4 linked regions of the Canis lupus familiaris genome follow. The protein of the gene in region 2 interacts with the protein of the main gene of each other region in a pairwise test. Links are inferred from orthologs where the notes say so. Each region holds a gene or a part of one and is shown on either strand. Other genes may lie near its edges.

Evidence for each region.
Region 1: the proteins of USP20 (region 2) and BEND7 interact in binary tests that used the Homo sapiens proteins (3 or more experiments, as listed by UniProt). The two-hybrid records come from large-scale screens. The link is inferred for Canis lupus familiaris from reciprocal best matches to the Homo sapiens genes USP20 and BEND7.
Region 3: the proteins of USP20 (region 2) and VAPB interact in binary tests that used the Homo sapiens proteins (3 or more experiments, as listed by UniProt). The two-hybrid records come from large-scale screens. The link is inferred for Canis lupus familiaris from reciprocal best matches to the Homo sapiens genes USP20 and VAPB.
Region 4: the proteins of USP20 (region 2) and TRIM23 interact in binary tests that used the Homo sapiens proteins (3 or more experiments, as listed by UniProt). The link is inferred for Canis lupus familiaris from reciprocal best matches to the Homo sapiens genes USP20 and TRIM23.

What each region holds. Positions count from the first base shown.
Region 1 is NC_049223.1:21,975,531-21,980,488, forward strand, and holds part of BEND7 (BEN domain-containing protein 7), read left to right. Parts: intron 1-1,934; coding exon 1,935-2,200; intron 2,201-4,958.
Region 2 is NC_049230.1:54,055,200-54,059,542, forward strand, and holds the end of USP20 (ubiquitin carboxyl-terminal hydrolase 20), read right to left. Parts: intron 4,178-4,343; coding exon 4,075-4,177; intron 2,884-4,074; coding exon 2,812-2,883; intron 2,422-2,811; coding exon 2,261-2,421; 3' UTR 2,247-2,260; intron 1,189-2,246; exon of another isoform or gene 1,185-1,188; 3' UTR 982-1,184; downstream 1-981.
Region 3 is NC_049245.1:43,968,294-43,973,251, forward strand, and holds part of VAPB (vesicle-associated membrane protein-associated protein B/C), read left to right. Parts: intron 1-2,334; coding exon 2,335-2,438; intron 2,439-4,958. UniProt on the Homo sapiens protein: Endoplasmic reticulum (ER)-anchored protein that mediates the formation of contact sites between the ER and endosomes via interaction with FFAT motif-containing proteins such as STARD3 or WDR44.
Region 4 is NC_049223.1:50,554,495-50,559,299, reverse strand, and holds the end of TRIM23 (E3 ubiquitin-protein ligase TRIM23), read left to right. Parts: intron 1-1,399; coding exon 1,400-1,579; 3' UTR 1,580-3,682; downstream 3,683-4,805.

The sequences.
Region 1 (4,958 bases), on a different chromosome or scaffold from region 2:
GATAGCAGAAAGGATAAACTGAAGAAATTACTCTTCTTTAATTTCCTTAAACTTAAGAATCTGTATTGTGTGGGTAGATTTACTTAAGGCTTATTGTCTATAACACCTGTAGATTTATATTTAGAAAGTTTCGCCTCTACTTAGGGAGAAGACAAGGAATACAATGAAGCGATAAGATCTGGGTGCCAGAGACTATGGCTGTGTCTAGACTTGCAAACTCAGGAGAAAAACTCTGAAAGTGCCTGTGTTCTTTAAACCAAATGCATTCTCCCTTTAATTTAGAATAGCAAGGCTTGGAGAGGCATGAGTCCTAGACCATTGATAATTGCTTTCCTTGTCTATTTGACTTTGGGCATGGAGACCTAACCTAGGGTAAAAATCCAGAGAACAGAGGAAAGTTCTCCACTTGAGCTTGCACACTGGAATCACTTGAGCTTTAAAAAGAAAAAAAAAGTCTCAGTTCCCCGGACGCCACCCCTGCAAATTCCAATTCAGTTAGTCTGGGGTAAGGCTGAGGCATGGACCTTTTTTTTTTTTTTTTTTTTTAAGCTCCCGGGTGATTCTAACATGCAGCCAAGGTCAAGCACCAGTGAACTCAACTAATAACTACACAAGTGGTTAAAAACCTTTTCAGTGCTCCTATGCAGTACAAGTGGTTTGTTTCCTTTTTTATTTTTTTAAGTAATCTCTGCACCCAACATGGGTGCAATGCCAAGATCAAAAGTTGCATGCTCCTCCTCCAACATAGCCAGCCAGGCACCCCAAGTAGTTGGGTTTCTAATACTTACTTGTAAATTTCTCGCCAGTCTAAAGATGCAAATACCAAGCTCAAAGTATAAATATCCTTTATTTGCAAACTGATGGGAAATGATCCATATTTATGTGCATTTAAAGATCTTTAGTTTTCATTTGGCTTATTTCTGTAAAAAAGCAGGCATATCCCATGATCATTTTTAGTAAGCCATATTGCTACATGAAGATTTAAATAATGATGCCGTGTTTTTCTATTACACTTTCCATCAGAATATTTCTAAATGGTTAACAAACATGACTTGCCAGAGTACATCTGTGAAAACTATACTTACCATCTTTGGCTTCCTTAAGTATATATTTAATACTAGTACTTGGTGTTTGTTCAGTGCTTTTCATCTTTGGAATTCCACCTGTTTCTGGATTTTACGGGTCTTCCTGACTTGCGAAGAACTATATCATTCCTATTTTTCCACTACCTAAAACCAAGGTATGGAGGGCAGCCTGGTCAGAACCCAGTAGTGTAGTTCTGTGGAGATGGTTGTGTGTGGATAACGTGGTTTGTAAGGAAGGAGGAACTGGCCCTGATAAAGGACTAGCCGGCTTTGCCTACATAACGTACGAGTCATGCCAGACTCATTCTTTAATAAATGATCATCATTGCTCACTCTTAGTCAATATTAGTGCCTGTAGATTGCTAGCAGCTGATCAACTTACCCTCCAAGGATGATTAGAATCATGGATCATCATCCATCATCATGGATATTCCATGTTTGGAATATCCAAACAAGGATATTCCTAAGTTTGGCTTACCAGAAAGCTTGGACATCTACACCTGAACTTAAATTCTGAGTTCCCATTTATATAAAAATGTCCTGCGACTTATAAAATCACACTCAGATGTTTTCCTACAGCTCAGAATGCCTTCCACGGAACCCAGCAGCAGCAGTGAGTGTAATTATTTAGCAGCATCGAGGACAGTGCTTTTCTTGTGTGTAGAACTCTAAAGTGCTTCAAAGACGTCATTTGATGATCTGCAGGTCCCACAAGAGATTGACTCTGGTCTGCTTCTTTGACTGAACCGTGCTTCGGTCTCAGTTAGTAGAACACGTAGATAGATGGACGATGGTTTCTCCTAAGTTAGACTCAGGTGCCTGTACCCTATTTTTGTTCACTCTTCACAGTTGGAACCCAAAACAGACAACAACCCCCGATTTCCCTTATATGCTCCCAGCGAACTGCTGTCTCACGCAAGAGAAATAAAAAGAAAAAAGTGCCCCCAAAGACCATTGAACCTCTAACTGTGAAGCAAAAGTCTGGCGCATTTGAAACTGAGAAGAAGACAGCAGGGGCCTCCGAGCAGCCTGGCCCCCCAACGGCCGAGCACCCCTCTTCTGGGGAGAGCCGTGTGCTGGGATTCGGCATCGTCCTAGAGTCGCCTGCCTCAGATGTAAGTCCATGTTCTCTGGCTGCTCACACTAAGGTGATGGAATTTTCAGGAATCTTATAGTATTAATACACATTCCCCTTAACTGGTTCTGCCCAAGAAAACTAGAGAAACTGCAAAAGACCCATGGGAAAGAGGAAAGGAAGACTATTAATAATTTCCTTACCTAGAATGTTCTCTTCCAAAAATCTTCAACCTCATTTATTTGAACGTGTTTCCATTCTTTATCCCTGCACGAAGAAGGGTGATGGAGTAAATAATCTGCTCACTAATTTCTTTAACAGTTTTAATTCTGAAGTGGCCGTTTTCAATTTCCTCAGCGTAGAGAGCTAAAAGAACATAATTAAATCCTTTGTAAATGGGCATAAATGAACAGAACCTTACAGATAAGGTCACACCTTTCTAGAAACACAAACTAATAATAAAAAAAGAGCAGTAGTGCTAATTCTATTTTATAGATGCAAGCCACACTGCTAATTAGGTTGCAGTGCATGCCATTTACTCTTTATAATGATAGGTTGGTTAATGCTCTGCAAAGGTTTTTCTATTTCAATATCATAGCTAGAAAGTTGTTGCAGTCCTGGATGTTGGATGACATCTAAGAGATCCATCCGACTTGCCATCTTATAGCTGTATGACCATAAACTGAAGTCCTTAAGAATGTGCTATTTTTGCAACTGCATACTCTGTTTACAATATCTTTATCTAAGTACATTAATGTGAACCCCGTCTGGTTGGGAGAGTTCTTAAAATAAACAAGAGTGAGTGATCTATTATTATCAGTTTGCATAGGATGAGAATCCTGCTGAGAACACCCACGGGCCTATATGGGATTGGAGTTTGGCCCTACCTTTTAAACTTTAAATAAAAAATAATTGCTATTTAAAAAAAAAGAGTGTCTCCTTTCAGATTGCAGAAAGGCAGTTTGCTAGCTTGTATCCACATTGGGTCTTTAATAAAGAGAGGTGACTTTTTTAGACTAGAAAGTCATTTGAACTTTTATCCAACCCTCAACATGAAAGGTTTTTATTGTTTTGGTTTTTTATCTTTGAACGCATGCTAAAATTAAGCAGTCCTTCTAGACTCAAAACTTAACTTTAAAAAAATCATTAATGATGTAATGTTCCACCCCAGGCCAATCAGCTGATTTGATTATATCATATGCTTATTGGAACTAAGGCCCTGGTTTCAAAACCCAAGTCAATCACCTATTTGGAAACAGAGGTGAATTATTCCACAACACAAAGTACATTCCATCTTAAGCAGTTTTCATGAACACTTTTATGTTTTTCTTGAATTTTCTAAGAGTTCATTTCTGATGGACATTAATATATGAGGAGCAATCATTTCCATTGTGTAAATCATCTCCTAAATGGGTCGCTCTAATGCTGATAACTGAACTTTCTCCTTTCTTTATTTTTAAGCTCCAAATATACTTCAGAGATAAATTGAGGAAGATCTGATAAAGGCCTTATGTACATTAATAATAGAATTTTTCTTATCTTTACCAATATCACCATTTTAATTTTGTTCATATACCAAATAAAAATAAATTTCTTTTTATTCATGATTACTTTTGCTAACAAGAGCTGTTAAATTTAACACAGCACATTCACAATTGTCCATGAAAACTCAGTTAGGTGCTGATTATCTTTGAGGAATAACATGCTTCTAAAAGCAGAAAGTATATGGAGATAATTATCTTTACATTATCCAGCTGATAGGCCGTTTGATTCATCTGTTCAACAGAAACAACTGCACCTAGAGGTCTGTGCAATGAATCCCATTGTTAGATGAGGCAATTTTGTCCACAGATAGTGTTCGTTGGAAATAATGAGACCAGCTTTCAGGGTCCCTGGCAGGGCAGGGGTTGGGGTAAGAATGTGTGGATTGACTCCCTTACCTGATGGAACCAGCAGTTCAAAGGCATCCAAATTTAGGTACTCTTCTATTCTTTATTATTTCTTAGCCATAGTCCTCTTAAAATTTGGTGGAAGTCCAGAGGAGAAAACAGAAAATATATAATAATCTTGTAGAAATTGTTCTCTAAAATGGATCTGAGAGAATGTAATATAATTGGATATATATAAATGGATGAGAATTCTGTATTTCTGTATTTGAAGATGGGCCCTGGGAAGTACCCAGCATTGGGAGGATCAGGTCCAAAGTTGCAGGGTTGGGCAAGTGGTCCAATGCTGCCTGAACAGCTATCTGGCTGGCTCTGGTAGTGGATGATGATGTAAAGGTAGAATGGGGCCAAGTAGTAAGAGCCCTAATATGCCATGCTGATGCCCTTGACCATCATCTTGTGGGCACTAGGGAGCCATTGTAACTCTCAAATAGAGGAATAATCATACCTATGTCTTAAAAGTGGAACTGCCTTATGGATAATGAAAGTTGGAGAGAAGAGAGTAGAGACAAAGAGACCAGGAAGAAGAACGTCACAGTCTACTTGAGCAGTGAGCCTGCAGAAGGAGAAAGGAGGCATTTAGGAAGTACCCACACAGAGGACTTGGTGGCTCAGTAGAAAGCAACCCCCACATTTCTCTCTTAAAAAACCAGGTTCGGTCCTCAGTACTGAGGTAGGGGACACAAGGGCAGAAGCAGGCCCTTAGGTCCAGATGGGAAGCACAAGTACATTTAGTATCGCAAAATGGTCCTTAGATGTTTGGAGGGGAGGAGAAAGAGCTAGAAGCAATGAGAAAAAGACATGTAAAACCTATACTTTCATTGCTGTGGTAGGTGTAAAAATTCCCATTAA
Region 2 (4,343 bases):
TTGGTGTTCAATTTACCAACATACAGAATAACCCCCAGTGCCTGTCACCCATTCACTCCCACCCCCCGCCCTCCTCCCCTTCTACCACCCTCAGTTCGTTTCCCAGAGTTAGCAGTCTTTACGTTCCAGACAGAACTTCTTCATTCCCATCTTCCACAGTAAACAAGAAAGGCCAATCCCAAAATCTGTACCGTGGAATTCCACGTATATGACATTCAAAAGTGAGCAAAGTTGAAAACAGTGCTTAGATTCAGATACACATGGACGTGGGAAAGTTATAAAGAAAAGTGGGGGATGAGGGACAGGCCAGGAGCTAACCCTGCGGGTGGAGGGGGTAGCTGTGCTCAGGAGGGACCCACGGGGGCTCGTGGGGACCGGTGATGGGTCTGCACACTCACATCTGATGGGATTTCCCAAGTATATGTGTGTTTCCAGAAGTACATAAAAATCTCCAATTCTTCTCTCCCCACCAAACCCCAAGAAGTGTAAAGAAAACCCAACCAAAGCCACAGGGAAAATAAAACACTAGTATCATTAAACATCAGGGAGCTCCCCGCACAGGACCCCGGCAACTGCGATGCTGTGATCGGAGGCACCAATGTCCGCCGTCAGCCAGGGGGAGGGTGCTCCCAGCTTGCAGGGTATACCCCGAGTGGCCGGGGCACGGTGCGGTGCCAATCGGGGATAGGCCCTGGGGTGTGCTGCCCTACCCCCACCCCACATCTGGCCTCACTTCTCTGGGGTTGGGCCCGGTTCCAGGAGAGGAAGGCCTGTGTTCGTGGCCCCTCTTCCTCGCCCACTCCTGCAGGATCCAGGGGCAGCCTGGTTTCCAAGCCCCGCCGAGCCCACGCCCGCGAGCCCACGCCCGCATGCCGTGGTCTGGAAGGCTGGTCACCCGGTGCGGCCCCCACCCCCACCCCATGCAGACCCCCCCTCCTCCCTCCAATAACAAAGCGAGCGTGGCACACAGACGACAGTGTGGGCCGAGGGGAACGCACAAGTCTTTATTAGGACAGTCTGACCATGGACAGGCCTCGCAGACATCGGCGAGTTTGCAACCTGGCGCGGAACCTCTGTCACCAGCGGGGGGCGACCTGCAGCCGGCAGCCGGCTGCAGCAGGAACTTTCAATAGACTGTAGCAAATGTCAAGGGATTTCCAGGGCGCTTGTTCTTGGACCACATGCTACCTTGGGGGGAGCGGGGAAGGAACCGGATAAGCTGCAGGGCGCTGCCAGGATCCCGGCCCCATCTGCTTCTAGAGCCTGAAGGCCACGGGGTGCGGGGACCTGGCTCCCATGCACTCTGGGCCTGACCAGGTGGGCAGCTCGCCCCAGTGGCTTCGTCCAGGGGCTTGGGGGCCACCGGAGACAAGACCCGGCCCCCTGTGCTCACCCCAGCGCAGCCTCACTGAGCATCCAGGGTGGGCTTCTGCAGCAGAGCCGCACCTCCCCAGGCTCCCCAGGACAGTGCGGGGAGAAAGGGGGAGTCCCCACCCTGGAAGCTGCATTCACAGCAAAGGACAGTGAAGCGGGGTATGCTTCTGTCCCATTGTCTGGTTCCCTGGTGGGGGCAGCACGGGCAGCCGGGGACACCGGGACCAGCTGCCTCCAGAAACCACCTCTACCGACAGACCCAGGCCCTCACCCTGGGTCCCCATCACAAATGAGCCCCGAGTTGTCAGTCTGAGGTGAAACGCCGAGAGCAGCCCAGGGTTCCGGAGCCTTCCTGTGATCCCCAGGATGGGGCCGAAGCGGGGGCTGGGGAGGAGTCGGCTCCAGCACTCCAGCACCCCAGCTCCCAGCATCTCCTGGAGCCCCTCCCGCCCTTTCATTTCTAGGCCACAGCCCCTGACTTGCAGCTCCAGGGACCAAAGCTGGGCCCCGATGACAGTAACAAGTGGACACAAAGGCCCCAGTTAAGGACCCAGGAAGTTAAGGAGCCCTGGTCGTGTGAAGAGCCTGAAGTAGATGTTTCCTGGTTGTGACATTATTCACTGGAACCCAAACAACTTTTCTGCCTCTTTACACATCTGGGTTTCCAAAGCGGCTGCCTCTCTTCCAGGCACAGATACACCCTCCACAGGGATGGGGGCAGAGGCAGGGGCCTGTGGGGACACCTGGGTCACTCAGCCCGGCGGGGCCCACAGGAGTGTTTTTCCAAACAGCCTCACAGAAGGTGTGTTGAGGGATGCGTTCTTCCAACGCACAGGGGCAGGAGAGGGTCTCTGCAAAGGGAAGGGACTTACAGACTGGCACCAAGTCACACGGCCCGGGTCTCGGCTTCAATTTTCTGCTCCCCGTGTAAGCTCTCTGGGTCCTGGAGCTGGGCCACACTCTGTCGGATGGCGACCTCCGGGCCACCACCATACAGGTTGTTCAGGTAGACCCAGGTCTCCTCTGAAATCTGCCCGTAGTCGGCTCCTGCAGGGCCCAAGAGGCCACCTGGTTGAGGCTGGGCCTGTGCTAACCTGCAGGCCCCCCCTCAGTGAAGTCAGGGTCCCTGGCAGTGGGGGGGCTCCTGGAGGTCCAGGCCCCAAAAGGGAGGGATGGCAACCTTGCACCTCCCCGCACAGCTGTTAAATAGCACTCTCAGGATGCTCCAGTGGGACATCCATCCTCTGAGGACCCGGGAAGGCACATCTCTGGCTGCTGCCGTTTCTGGGGTGTGGGGTTCACGCAAAGGACAGGCAGAGGCCGGCACAGGGTATGGGTATGAGCAGCGGGGTCCCTGGGCCTGTGACTGGCGGCCTGGAAGGACCGTGGGGAGCCTGGTGGGCCTGGGAGGTCAGGGCTGGCGCCGGCGAGACTCACCCTGCTTCAGCTGGATGTGGCCACTTCCTTTGACCTGAGCGATCCTGCTGTTGTCAATGGGCCCCGGGGGCTCTGGAACAGACGTGGCTCAGGCTTAGTGCCTCTGGGCCTCTGCAGCAGCAGGAAGAGACTCCAGCCCCCCACCACGGCCCTCTACCTCTCCACAGGTAAGAGACAGCCTCAAGGTGGGACCCCTACACTGTGACCCTGGAGGGGCTGTCCGGGGCCCAAGGGGTCTGTGTAACGTCCTTACAGGGACAGGAGCTTGGGCACCAGAGGCTCATCCACAGAAGTTGAAGAGCCAGAAGGGACTCGGAGTATCCCTGGAGCCTGCAAAGGGGATTTCTGGGACATGTGCACTAGTTTCAGACCCCTCACTGCTGATGGCAGTGGCCACTCGCTGAGCACCCTTCTCCAGACCTCATGTCATCCTCGACATCACATGACTCGAGAGCTGTTTCCAGAGGCAGGGGACAGGACTGCCCAGGGAAAAGCTGGCAGGAGGCCATGCCAGGGCCCGAGGGCAAGGCTGCGACACCACAGCCAGGCGTGACCGCCTCCACATACACTAGGGAGCCCTCGGGCACCCCTGTATGGGGCTGGATGGCAGCGAGGCCCCTCTCCTTGCCCTGAGGCCAGGCTAGGACTTAGGCCCTGAAGGGCAAATGTCCCCTGCAGAGCCTGCTGGCCCTGCCGACCCTGCATGTGGGGCTTGGGGGTGGTGAGGCAGCCGCTGGCAGGCCAGAGCTTGAGCTCCGTTCTTTCTTGCCGGATCTGCGGGAGGCTGCCTCCGCCTCTGTAAGGCCAGAGGTCAGAGGACACCATGTCCATGTGCTTTCCTAAGAGTCTGAAGCCGTCTGTCCACTTAAATCTTGATTTAGGTCAAGAGACCCCACAAAGGAAAGGGCCCAGCAGGTGGAAGGCAGCCCTGTCTGGTACCATGAGGGACAGTACGTGAGGGAAGGGGCAGAGCAAGACGGCTCCTATCCTACTGCAGCAAGAAGGCCTGGCCCTGGGGCATGGGGTATGGGGTGACCTGGCCCCGGGGCGTGGGAGGCGGCAAGGGGGTGGACAGGGCCCTGGGGCCAGAAGAACACCTGTGCTCTCTGCTCCTGTAGGAGGCAGACACTTGCCTGAAGGGTGGCACCTAAAACCTGCTGGGCAGCCACAGACCCAGGGCCCCCCACTCCCCCAGCACTCCCGGCAGATCTGAAGCCTGGTGGCTCTCTTGGAGGCGGTGTGCCAGACGCATGCTCCACTCACCATTGTCCTTGCCCTTGACAAAGGCCTCCCACTCCCGAAACCACTGCATGCTGATGCAGTAGATGACGCTGGGAGACTCCTCCGCCTGGAAGGCTTTGTTCAGCTGGGCGGCCACCAGGGGGAGCAGAAGGGAGGGTCAGCTCCAGGGCCCCAACACCCCTGCCCTCCCCCCTCCCCTCCTCCCTTAGAAAACACCGGATCCTCAAGGAGCTCCCAGACAAGCTCAAAGAAACCTCTCCCGTGGTCCCGCAGGTAACATGTTGGTGAAT
Region 3 (4,958 bases), on a different chromosome or scaffold from region 2:
AGCGCGCTCTCTCTCTTTCAAATAAATAAAATCTTTAAGAAGAAGAAGAAAAAAAGAACATAATCTGAACAGTAGTTTGAAGACTGTGACCCAACTTCAAAGAAGGTTGACAGTCCTTGTCCAAGAGAGATCATAGTACATGTGAAGGTATTGGCCCCCTAGTTTATCTTGTGTATTTTCCTTGTTGCATCCCTGGAGGTAGACAAAGCATGATGGGAGTTTAGCTTTCAGAAGAGTCTGGGGACTGATCTGCTAGTCTGCTTATTTGTCCCTGAGGTTAAGTGTCAAGCCCATGTGTGTGATGATGCCCCAAGTCTGTCCCCAGGAGAGCTCTTGCCAACTTGGTGGTGCTAGAGGGAGAGATAGTTGCCTTCCAGGCCCAAAGCCACCAGCAAGGACTGCTCTTTTGGGAGGGAACTGTGCCTCTGCACTTGCAAGAGTAAAATTCCAGGTAGAGTGGCCTTGAGTTTTAAATGACCTTTTGTTCTCTCTGCTGGTGGTCACACTTTGGATTTTGGGTATTCAGAATATCTGTATCGGTATCTAGACTTGATGTCACGTGTGTATAAGACCCGAACTTTTTCTTTTTATATTTACTTTAGAGAGAGAAAGAACATGTGCACACATGGGGGGAGGGGGCATGGGCAGAGGGAGAGAAGCAGACTCAACTGTGAGCATGGAGCTAGACGGGGGGGTGGGGGGTTGATCTAATGACCCTGAGATTGTGACCTTTAAGAAAGGTTTGTACATTTATTGATTTTTATCTTGAAGAAATCTCCCAGTAATGTCCCCTGGAACTCAGAGCACGTCAGATGGGTGATGTGGGCAGCAGAATTGTCTGGGCAACTGTGTGTACCGAAACATTGAAATCTGTTGTGTTGTTGGATTTCAGTAGACTTTCTCTGTCCTGAAGGTAGAGGGAACTCTGTGTCCCAAAGATGGATGTCAGGGATATTTGCATTTTGATTCCCTATTTGCTTTTTTTTATGTGATATGATAGGGGAATGTGAATTCGCAGAATGTGAATCTGTCTTCTATTGGAGTGACTGGTGTGGCAGAAGGAGTGGGTGCTGGGTTGCACTTGGCTCTGAAGTTTTGCTGCTTCATGACAGTGTGAACTAGGGTTTAGGACATGTGCCCTTTATCTGCTGCAGAGGGTAGTGGATAGTAAGCTTTAGAGGAAACCATAAGATGGGGCTCAAAGGCCACAGAACCCGATGAGTGCCCTGCAGGAAAGGCGCTTGTGGAGGACAGCACTCGACCTGGTAGAGGACGAGTCAGTCCTTTGTGGTGGGCCACCTGCATTGAGTGTCCCTCCTTCATGGTGTGATCTCAGTCAGGTTAGTTAACCTTTCTGTGCTCCAGTTTGTTCACTTGAAAACAGGCATTAAAATAATCTCTGCAACAGTACCTACCTCTTAAAAGTTAAATGACATACAGAGCCTAACATACAGAGCCAGGTTTCTGGCACATGGGAGACACTGAGTTTGTATTAGGGCTTCTCATGGTCAGGGCTGCAGGAGGCATTTGCTGCGTGTGAAAAGGTGTGTGTCGGAATTTATCCAGATGTGTGGTTTAGCCAGAGCCTTGCAGCGGATCAGCGGATCATGTATTTCAAAGCAGCCACCATTTCAGAAGGGTGGAAAGTTCTAAGGAAGCCAGTAGGAACAGGGAGGCACCTCCTTAGTGCAGTGGGCGTGACTTGCCGGAGGGAGCCTGTATATGAGATTCCTCTAGGTTTTTGGGGTGTAGGCTGGTTATGTTCTCCCGTGCTGTGATTGTGCTGGTTGTGAAAATTTCCTGACTCTGCATTGGCCAAATTGTATTTGAAGCAATACATGAATACCTTGATAGGGGAAATGGGACCAAGAAAAGCTAAAATGAGACTGTCACTTACATGTCTTGGATTATTCTTCTAGTTTACTTTTTGAAAAGATCATTTTGCTGTTTTGTCTTGAGCAAAAAAGCATATGGTATTTGTACCTAGTTTACTTCGTCTGTAGGGCCTATATCAGACCTCTGTGTCAGGTGGGCAGTTGTGAATGATCCAGGGGCTAGGAATCAAAAAACCTGGATCCTAAGCCCAAGTCCGAGCTCTCCCACTACTTGCTCTTTGATTTGGGCGAGTCCCCCAACTTCTGGATCTCAGGTTTGAGACGTGAAAAGTGGAGAAGACACTAGGCATGTTGCCCTGCTGGCCTCACCTGGGGTGTTTATAAGACTCAGATGAGAATCCTGGTAAACTGCTTTATAACCAAGGTACAAGTTTTAACATAACAAATGGCTGCGGGTAACCAAGCTCTGACCCTCCTAATGAAATATTTTCTTTCTCAGTGATGTTACAGCCTTTCGATTATGACCCCAATGAGAAAAGTAAACACAAGTTTATGGTTCAGTCTATGTTTGCTCCGACTGACACTTCTGATATGGAAGCAGTAGTAAGTACTGAATGCTTCTTACTTTTTTTAGTAATTAAAAAAAAAATGATGAGGTACAGAATTTTGGGTGCATGCATTTCAAAATGTGTCAAAGTTGTTTTTAAAGGGGAATGGTGTTTTCAAGGAGGTTTGTACTTTGACTACCTTTATGGTTTTTCCTCAAATTTTTATTTTAACATTTTATGTAACTTTCCAGAATACTATTCTTTTCTGACTCTTTTAAAATCACAGTTTGCTTCAGCACTTCCTTGTTCTGATGAATTGTGTTTTAAATGGTTTGAGGATTTCTTCCCTTTATACCCCCTTTACATCCTCCATAGGAAAGGGTACTTCTTAGTATAGGGAATGCCTCTTACCACCTCTCCCTGTCCACCACCCTGACCCCCACCCTGCAAGAGCCCAGAGGGATGTGAGACAATGAAATACTTAAATGTCCTCCAGTGCCAAAGGGTTTTTTCCTTGCTTGGTTCTGGTAAGCATGATTTTTTTCCCCCTCCCTAATTTCCCTCTTTTTTTTTTTCCTGCTTAAATACATGTTTAACCCTTTCTCTAATTTCAGTAAAAATAAGATGACTTTGTTTTTATAAAATGAATAAGTGATATTATTGGTTTTCCTGGGAAAAGGTTATAATGGAAATTCTTCTTAAAGTAAACTTTTCCACATTTGAAGAAATCGGCGGACATTCTGCTGTCTGCAGGAATCACAATGTACAGATAAACCTTACCTTACACAGCCCCCACTAGACTGGAGAGTCCTCACATTCACACATGGGAAGAGGAAGGCAAGGTTCCCTCAACATCTGCATCATCACTTTCCAGCTCACCACCCCCAGGCTAGGAGACTGGTCACCTGAGGAGTACCTGCAGTTGGGAGGCAGTGGTGGCTCACAGAGCACCGTGGTTTTTCTCTTTCAAGTTTTATGCAAAGGGCTTTCTATGCACCACTTCCCTTTGTGTCCCAGTGTCCCATTCAGCCTTTTCTGTTAGTCTTGGAAAAGCACAAATGACCATCTTTGTGGATGTTTAAGTTTGGGGCAGGAGATGAGGGATAAGCCAGATACCTTGAGATTTGAGAGAGATGAGTGATAATAGACTACCTTCCCCTTTCATAAGAATGATTATTGAGGCATTTACTACTTTCTCTTTTATTCCCAGAACATGATGTGTCACTTCATGTTAATTTGTGTGAGCAAGGAAATGTATGGCAAATACAAAATTTGGAATATCCAAGAATGTATTCTGCTTGGCTTTTGCTGCATGGCTTAGTGACAAGAGCATGGGCTTGGGTGTCTTGGGTGTGGGGCTGAGCTCTGCCTTTTACTAATGTTGTGGCCTTGGGCAGTTTTCATTAACTCTCTATAGGGTTGGGTTACCTGTAAAAGGGGGATAAAAACGTAGTTTACACTGGTCGTGGGATTCCGTGTGCTGTGTGTGTCAGACACCTGGCACAGTCTCCAAAGCTGTTGTATCTGAGCACTATTATAGGCCAGGCCCTCTATATACAATGAGGGTGAATTTCACTCCTTTTTATGATAATTTTCATAACAGTTAAAATTTTTTATATGAAATGTATATGGTAGGAAAATTTGGAAATATACAAATAAGCACAAATAAAACTAAAACTGACCTGTATTTATTTATTTATACTAGACCTAATCACTGTTATTCAGAGCCTTGTGCTATTTCTTTATTTTTAACTTTTTTTTTTTGTATTTTGATCTATAGAATAGAAGTGGAAAAAATTATACAGTGACTACTCCTATAACGTTTATCTAGATTCACCATTTAATACTTTGCCACATTTGCTTTATTTCTCTTATAAACTTTCTTTTTTTGCCGAACCACTTGACTCTAAGACACAGACTTCAGGACACTTGCTCCTACATGCTTCAGAACAAGGACAGTGTCTTACACAGTCACAGCACTGCCCTCACAGCTGAGAAGGTTGACATTAATCCAATCATATTATTTAACCGAGAAACTCCAATGCCGCGTTCTCCAGTTGCTCCAAAGTGGCCGTTGGTTGTTCTTAGTCAAGTAGAGAACAGTACCCTCAGCCTTTTTTGTTTTTCATGACTTTGAATTTTTTGAGACCAGGCCAGTTCTTGGGGTTGTCCACTTATTTCCTCATGATTAAATTCAGGTTCAATGTTTTTTAGCAAGAATATTCCATAAGTAATACCATATATGCATCATATCAGAAGGCATTCAGTACTGGGTTGTCCCTCTACTGGTGATGCTAAAAGTTGGATTACTTTGTTAATTTGGTGACTGCCAACTTTCCAGTGTCAAGGCAAGGTTGCCCCTTGTGGTTAATATGTGATCTTTGATACTCTTGAGTAATTGGACGCTTGGAGACCACGTGAATAACCTGCTCACCAGCAGTCTCACCTGGTGGTTTAGTGTCTAGTGATTGACCCTTGCTTGATGTTCTTTTGACACACAAAAGAACTTTTGTATACTGTGTGTATACAGAGGAACAGACTTAAAATATTGTTTGTAGCTTCTTCACTTAATGTT
Region 4 (4,805 bases), on a different chromosome or scaffold from region 2:
GCAAGATCCTCAATTAAAGGAATAGAAGGGTGGAAGCAGATTGGAAAGAGTTTATGAACGTAGATTTGTTAGAATTCTGTGTCTGAATGGGGAGGGTAAAGGACACGGGGAAGCTGCAGATTCCTAGATCTGAGCCTATGCTTCTAGGAGGATGACAAGTGCAGTAGAGGGGCTAACATGTCATAAAAAGGAAGGGTAGGATGGCGAATAAAAGGTTTTCCTCATAAAAAATAAAAGGCAAACTACTAAGAGCAAGATACACTTTGCTTTACTTATTGAAAAAGACACGTAAATAAGGCAAAGTGAATCCCACTTTTCATCGTTAAAGATAAAAATGTTCATAATCTTCAGACTCATATATACTGTTGGTGTGGTTATTAGAGACATTTTCTTGGAGGGCAATTGGGCAGTACCATACCTATCAAAATTTTAGATGCATATACCTGTACCCTGCAATTTTACCTCTAGGAAAGTATTCTACAAATATCCTAAAGTTATCCTACAGATAATGGTGCAAATGAACGTGGGTAAAAATGTTACATATGTATATGTATGTATTTGTAATAGCACATAAATAGGAGTTCAGAGTAAATATTAAGAATAGGACTGGTTGGGCAGCCCGGGTGGCTCAGCGGTTTAGCACTGCCTTCAGCCCAGGGTGTGATCCTGGAGACCTGGGATCGAGTCCCACGTCGGGCTCCCTGCATGGAGCCTGCTTCTCCCTCTGCCTGTGTCTCTGCCTCTCTCTCTCTCTCTCTGTGTGTGTCTCTCAGGAATAATAAATAAAATTAAAAAAAAAAAAAAAGAATAGGACTGGTTAAGAAAAGTAATGTAGCACCTACACCCAGGAATGTAATTCGATGTTAAAAATAATGCTGAAAGTCTACTTGTCCAGATAATGGAAAGATAATTATCTTCAAGATGTGTTCAGTAAAAAATTTAAAAAAACTAAAGGATGTTTATTTGCATGAATGTGCATGGAAATTATCTGGACAAATATATAAAATATCATAACTGGTGGTTGCTTCTAGGAAGTAGGGGTGTTCGGGGGTATTTGGAGTGGGAATTTAGTAACTTCATTTTATAAATTCTATGTATGAGCCATTTTTGTGATACAGATGTGTTAACCTTTTTAAGTCAATGCCTTATGACTCAGGCAGTATCTTTCATTCAGGCTGCATTGCCTTTATTGATTTCACTGTGATGTTATTCCTACAGACTATATTATAAATGATCTTAATCACAACCCTACTTTTCTCTCTATTAATTACAGAATAGTTACTGAAAGGTGAATTTAGGTTTTAACTTTAGGCTTTTGTTAGAATGGCACCAACAGAATTCTATATAAATAATTTTGATGAGTGGATTATAAAAATTTTGTTATGTATATATCTTTCAGGATGTTGCTGGAGCTCTGTCAGTAGAAGAAATCACTGAACTTCTCAGTCTGCATAAATTGTGCTGTGGCCGTAGCTGGTATATTCAGGGCTGTGATGCTCGAAGTGGTATGGGACTATATGAAGGGTTAGATTGGCTCTCAAGGCATCTTGTGGCTGCTGGAGTATTGGATGTTGCTTGATTTTAAATGCAGCAGTTCTTCAAAGTTTTGTGGTTAAGAGTTACTTTGCACATAATATAAGAAATTCTGCACTCAAAGTTAATTTAGGATGTATACTTAAAAGGACTTTGGGGAATTCAGTACAATATTGCTTTTTAAAAAGTTACTCTGTAGTAAAATTTAAATATTTGAGCAGATTAAAATTGCATTAAATAGGGACTTAGTGAATATACATTTTTTAAAAACATAAATTTGTTATTTTTTTCACATTATATGTGAACCATATACTGGGAAAGAAGTAGTGAGGGAAGGGGTAAGGTGAAGATTTATTCTTTCAGAGAAAAATGAATAGCCAACTGAGTGCCTAATGGAACCTCTGTGTGAAGCAAGTGAAACATAGCTTCTCTTTTATCTTACCTTTTCACTGGATTTGGCAGTATTTAGTAACAAAGCAGCAGTGATTTAATGAAAGAATCCAGACTGTATCTTTGGGTAGTAGGATTACTTCTATGTTTATTATAACAGAACACCTTTAATGCTAAGAACTATAAGCTGCAGAAAATTAATATTTTATAATGTTTTATTAAAACTTTCTCTAAGCCCTTTTGTATAAAACACAAGTGAGTCATATGACGTTATCTAACTAGGTATGACTGTCAGATTAGTATTAAACTGAAGAATAATTAATAATAAAACAAGTCAGTTATGTTGTAGTTAATCTTCACTTATGAAAGACCCATTTCCCGGGTTGAACTTAGATATATTATTTCCTAGGTCACAGCTCTAAATTGGTCCTTCTATTTTCAACACATTTAAATTAGAGTTTCTTTTTAAAATAATATTGCATCCTTAGTGGGAACGATTATAGGGTAAAATGTAGTAAGTTACACATAGAACCAGGGTTGTTGGCTTTACATAAAAAAAAAAAATAGAGATCTAAGTAGAAAACTACATTTACCTTAAGAGAAGCAGTGGAGAATTAGTTACTTTAATAGCTTTCCCAAAATAAGTGCATTTATCTTGACAATAAAATGTTATCAAGGCTCTTCATGATAAGGCCTTGAAAAGTTAGTTGAGAAAGAATGTGTCTAAGGAAATGTTCAGAAAGTTTACATCACCTTTATTAATGCAGTGTTGTAAAAGTTTAAAAATTTTGTGCTTTTTACTGTTTTTCATTTTTTAAGGATACTCATTATAGCAGTACGATTTATATTTAAACATAGCTAGATTCAGTTTTATTATTTTTTTAAAAGGCTCTTCATCCTTTAGGATGAGGTTGAGTCCTAAGTCGTCTTAGTTGAACTGCTAGGAGAGGTAGGTCCCTCTTTGGTGGTACTGTTTTTGGTTCAGTCTCTTCAAATGTACTTTTGTTTAAAATAAACAACAAAACTTTTAGAAAACAAAGCATTAGAAAGAAGTCCATCAGTGTTATGGGCAGTGTGTAAATAAGTAAATATTTCATCCTTTATTTTTCAAGTAAAAGTCATGCTGTTACAAGTGTAATTTGTGCATATAAGTAACACTTATGAATTAAATTATTTAATATTTGATTACAATAACTGTGAAAAATAAAAAAATGTGTTAACATTTGCCTGTGAGCCCTTGACCTGCTTTCTCTACTAGGTAATTGAAAAAGAAAATCTAACACTAAAATGTAAAGTTGTTTTCCTTGTAAATTATTAAGTTTATTTCACCAATTTTGGTAAACTTTGTAATTCACATTCTTAGGATATTACTAAACACAATGTAAAAATTGTGCTTAGACTTGATTATAATGTACATAACAGTGTTCGTGTGTGATTTCTTTTTTTTTAAGAAATATTTTTCTCAGGCCCTTACTACTATTTATGGTTGTATTCTTTCCCTAATCATTGGTTAAGATTTTGCTAGTTCCCTCTGAGAAATGTCAAACTTAATAATGAGAGAGATGTCTTAAATACAGTCTATTAGGATTTGCCTCCTAGCTCTGAATTTCTGTATTAAGCTAAATATTATTGTATGGTTTATGTAAAGCAGGTTTACAAGTGTGTAGCCCTGGTCTGTAATATCGGAATGCTTTATTATCACCAGAAGCCATTATTTGCATTACATATAGACAGCAATAAAATGTTAAAATCATTTTAAGGAAGTCTTATCATTATTCTATAAGTTCTGTTTCATGTACCATCTATCTACTAGTATAATTAGTAACCACCTAAAGTCCTATTTATGCTGTGGTTATGAGAAAGGAAACAAAATGGGGTAGGGATTGACTTCCATGTCAAATCTGAGTTTATTAAAGATTTAGAAATAAATAAAGCATTCTGTAGTTGCAAAGTAAGCCACACTTAAATGAGCATTATCTAGACAGAACTAAATTTTTGCATTAAACATCGTGAAACCCGTTTTTTTAAATTTTAAGTAACTGTTTTAGAAAATGGCTGAGAATACTTAGGTGCAGCCTTATGAACTAATATTGCCAAAAGAAAGACATTTTCCTTAGCATTGAGATACCTTTCAATTTGCAAAGTGGTTAATAGGGAAGAAGACAGTTACACTTTTCCTAAAAAAATAATGAAGAGGATGAATATGTATCAGATGATATCCTGCTAATAATAATTTAAAACATGCTTTACAAAAAGATACTGGCAATGTATATTTTTAGGTCTACTGACTGTTGAATTTGTGACATGAAATGGAAAAATTCGTTAATCAACTAGGATTTTTCACTCAACCAAAATAACTATGTTTGGCAGAATGGGGCATCACCACCACTTGGTGGCAGTATTATAAAAAATTTAGGATTAAGTTTTCAGGAATGAATAAATTGCTTGGGTGATGTCAAGACATCTAAAATAGTAAGTAAAGGTAAATGTCACAGTGAAAAGTCATTTTATGTCTAAGTTCTGCTTTATAAAAGGAGGACATAATACTAAAGTAGCATAACTTGGGGGCGCCAGGGGTGGCTCAGTCAGTGGCTCAGGTCATGACCCTGGGGTGGGTCCTGGGGCTCCCTGCTCAGCCAGGAGTCTGCTTCTCCCTCTGCTCCCACCAGCCCCCCGCCAAAGTCATGCATGCACTCTCTCCCTTTATCAAATAAATAAATAAATAAAAATCTTAAAAAAAAAAAGTAGTACAACTTGGTACATTAATCCATCTCACAGGTTTGTGGTACAAAATGGATAAAGGAAGTAATCCTGTTTGTCAACAGAAGGAAAAGTGTAAGTTTAGGTTGAAACATAAGAATGTGAATTCCCTAAATAGGTCT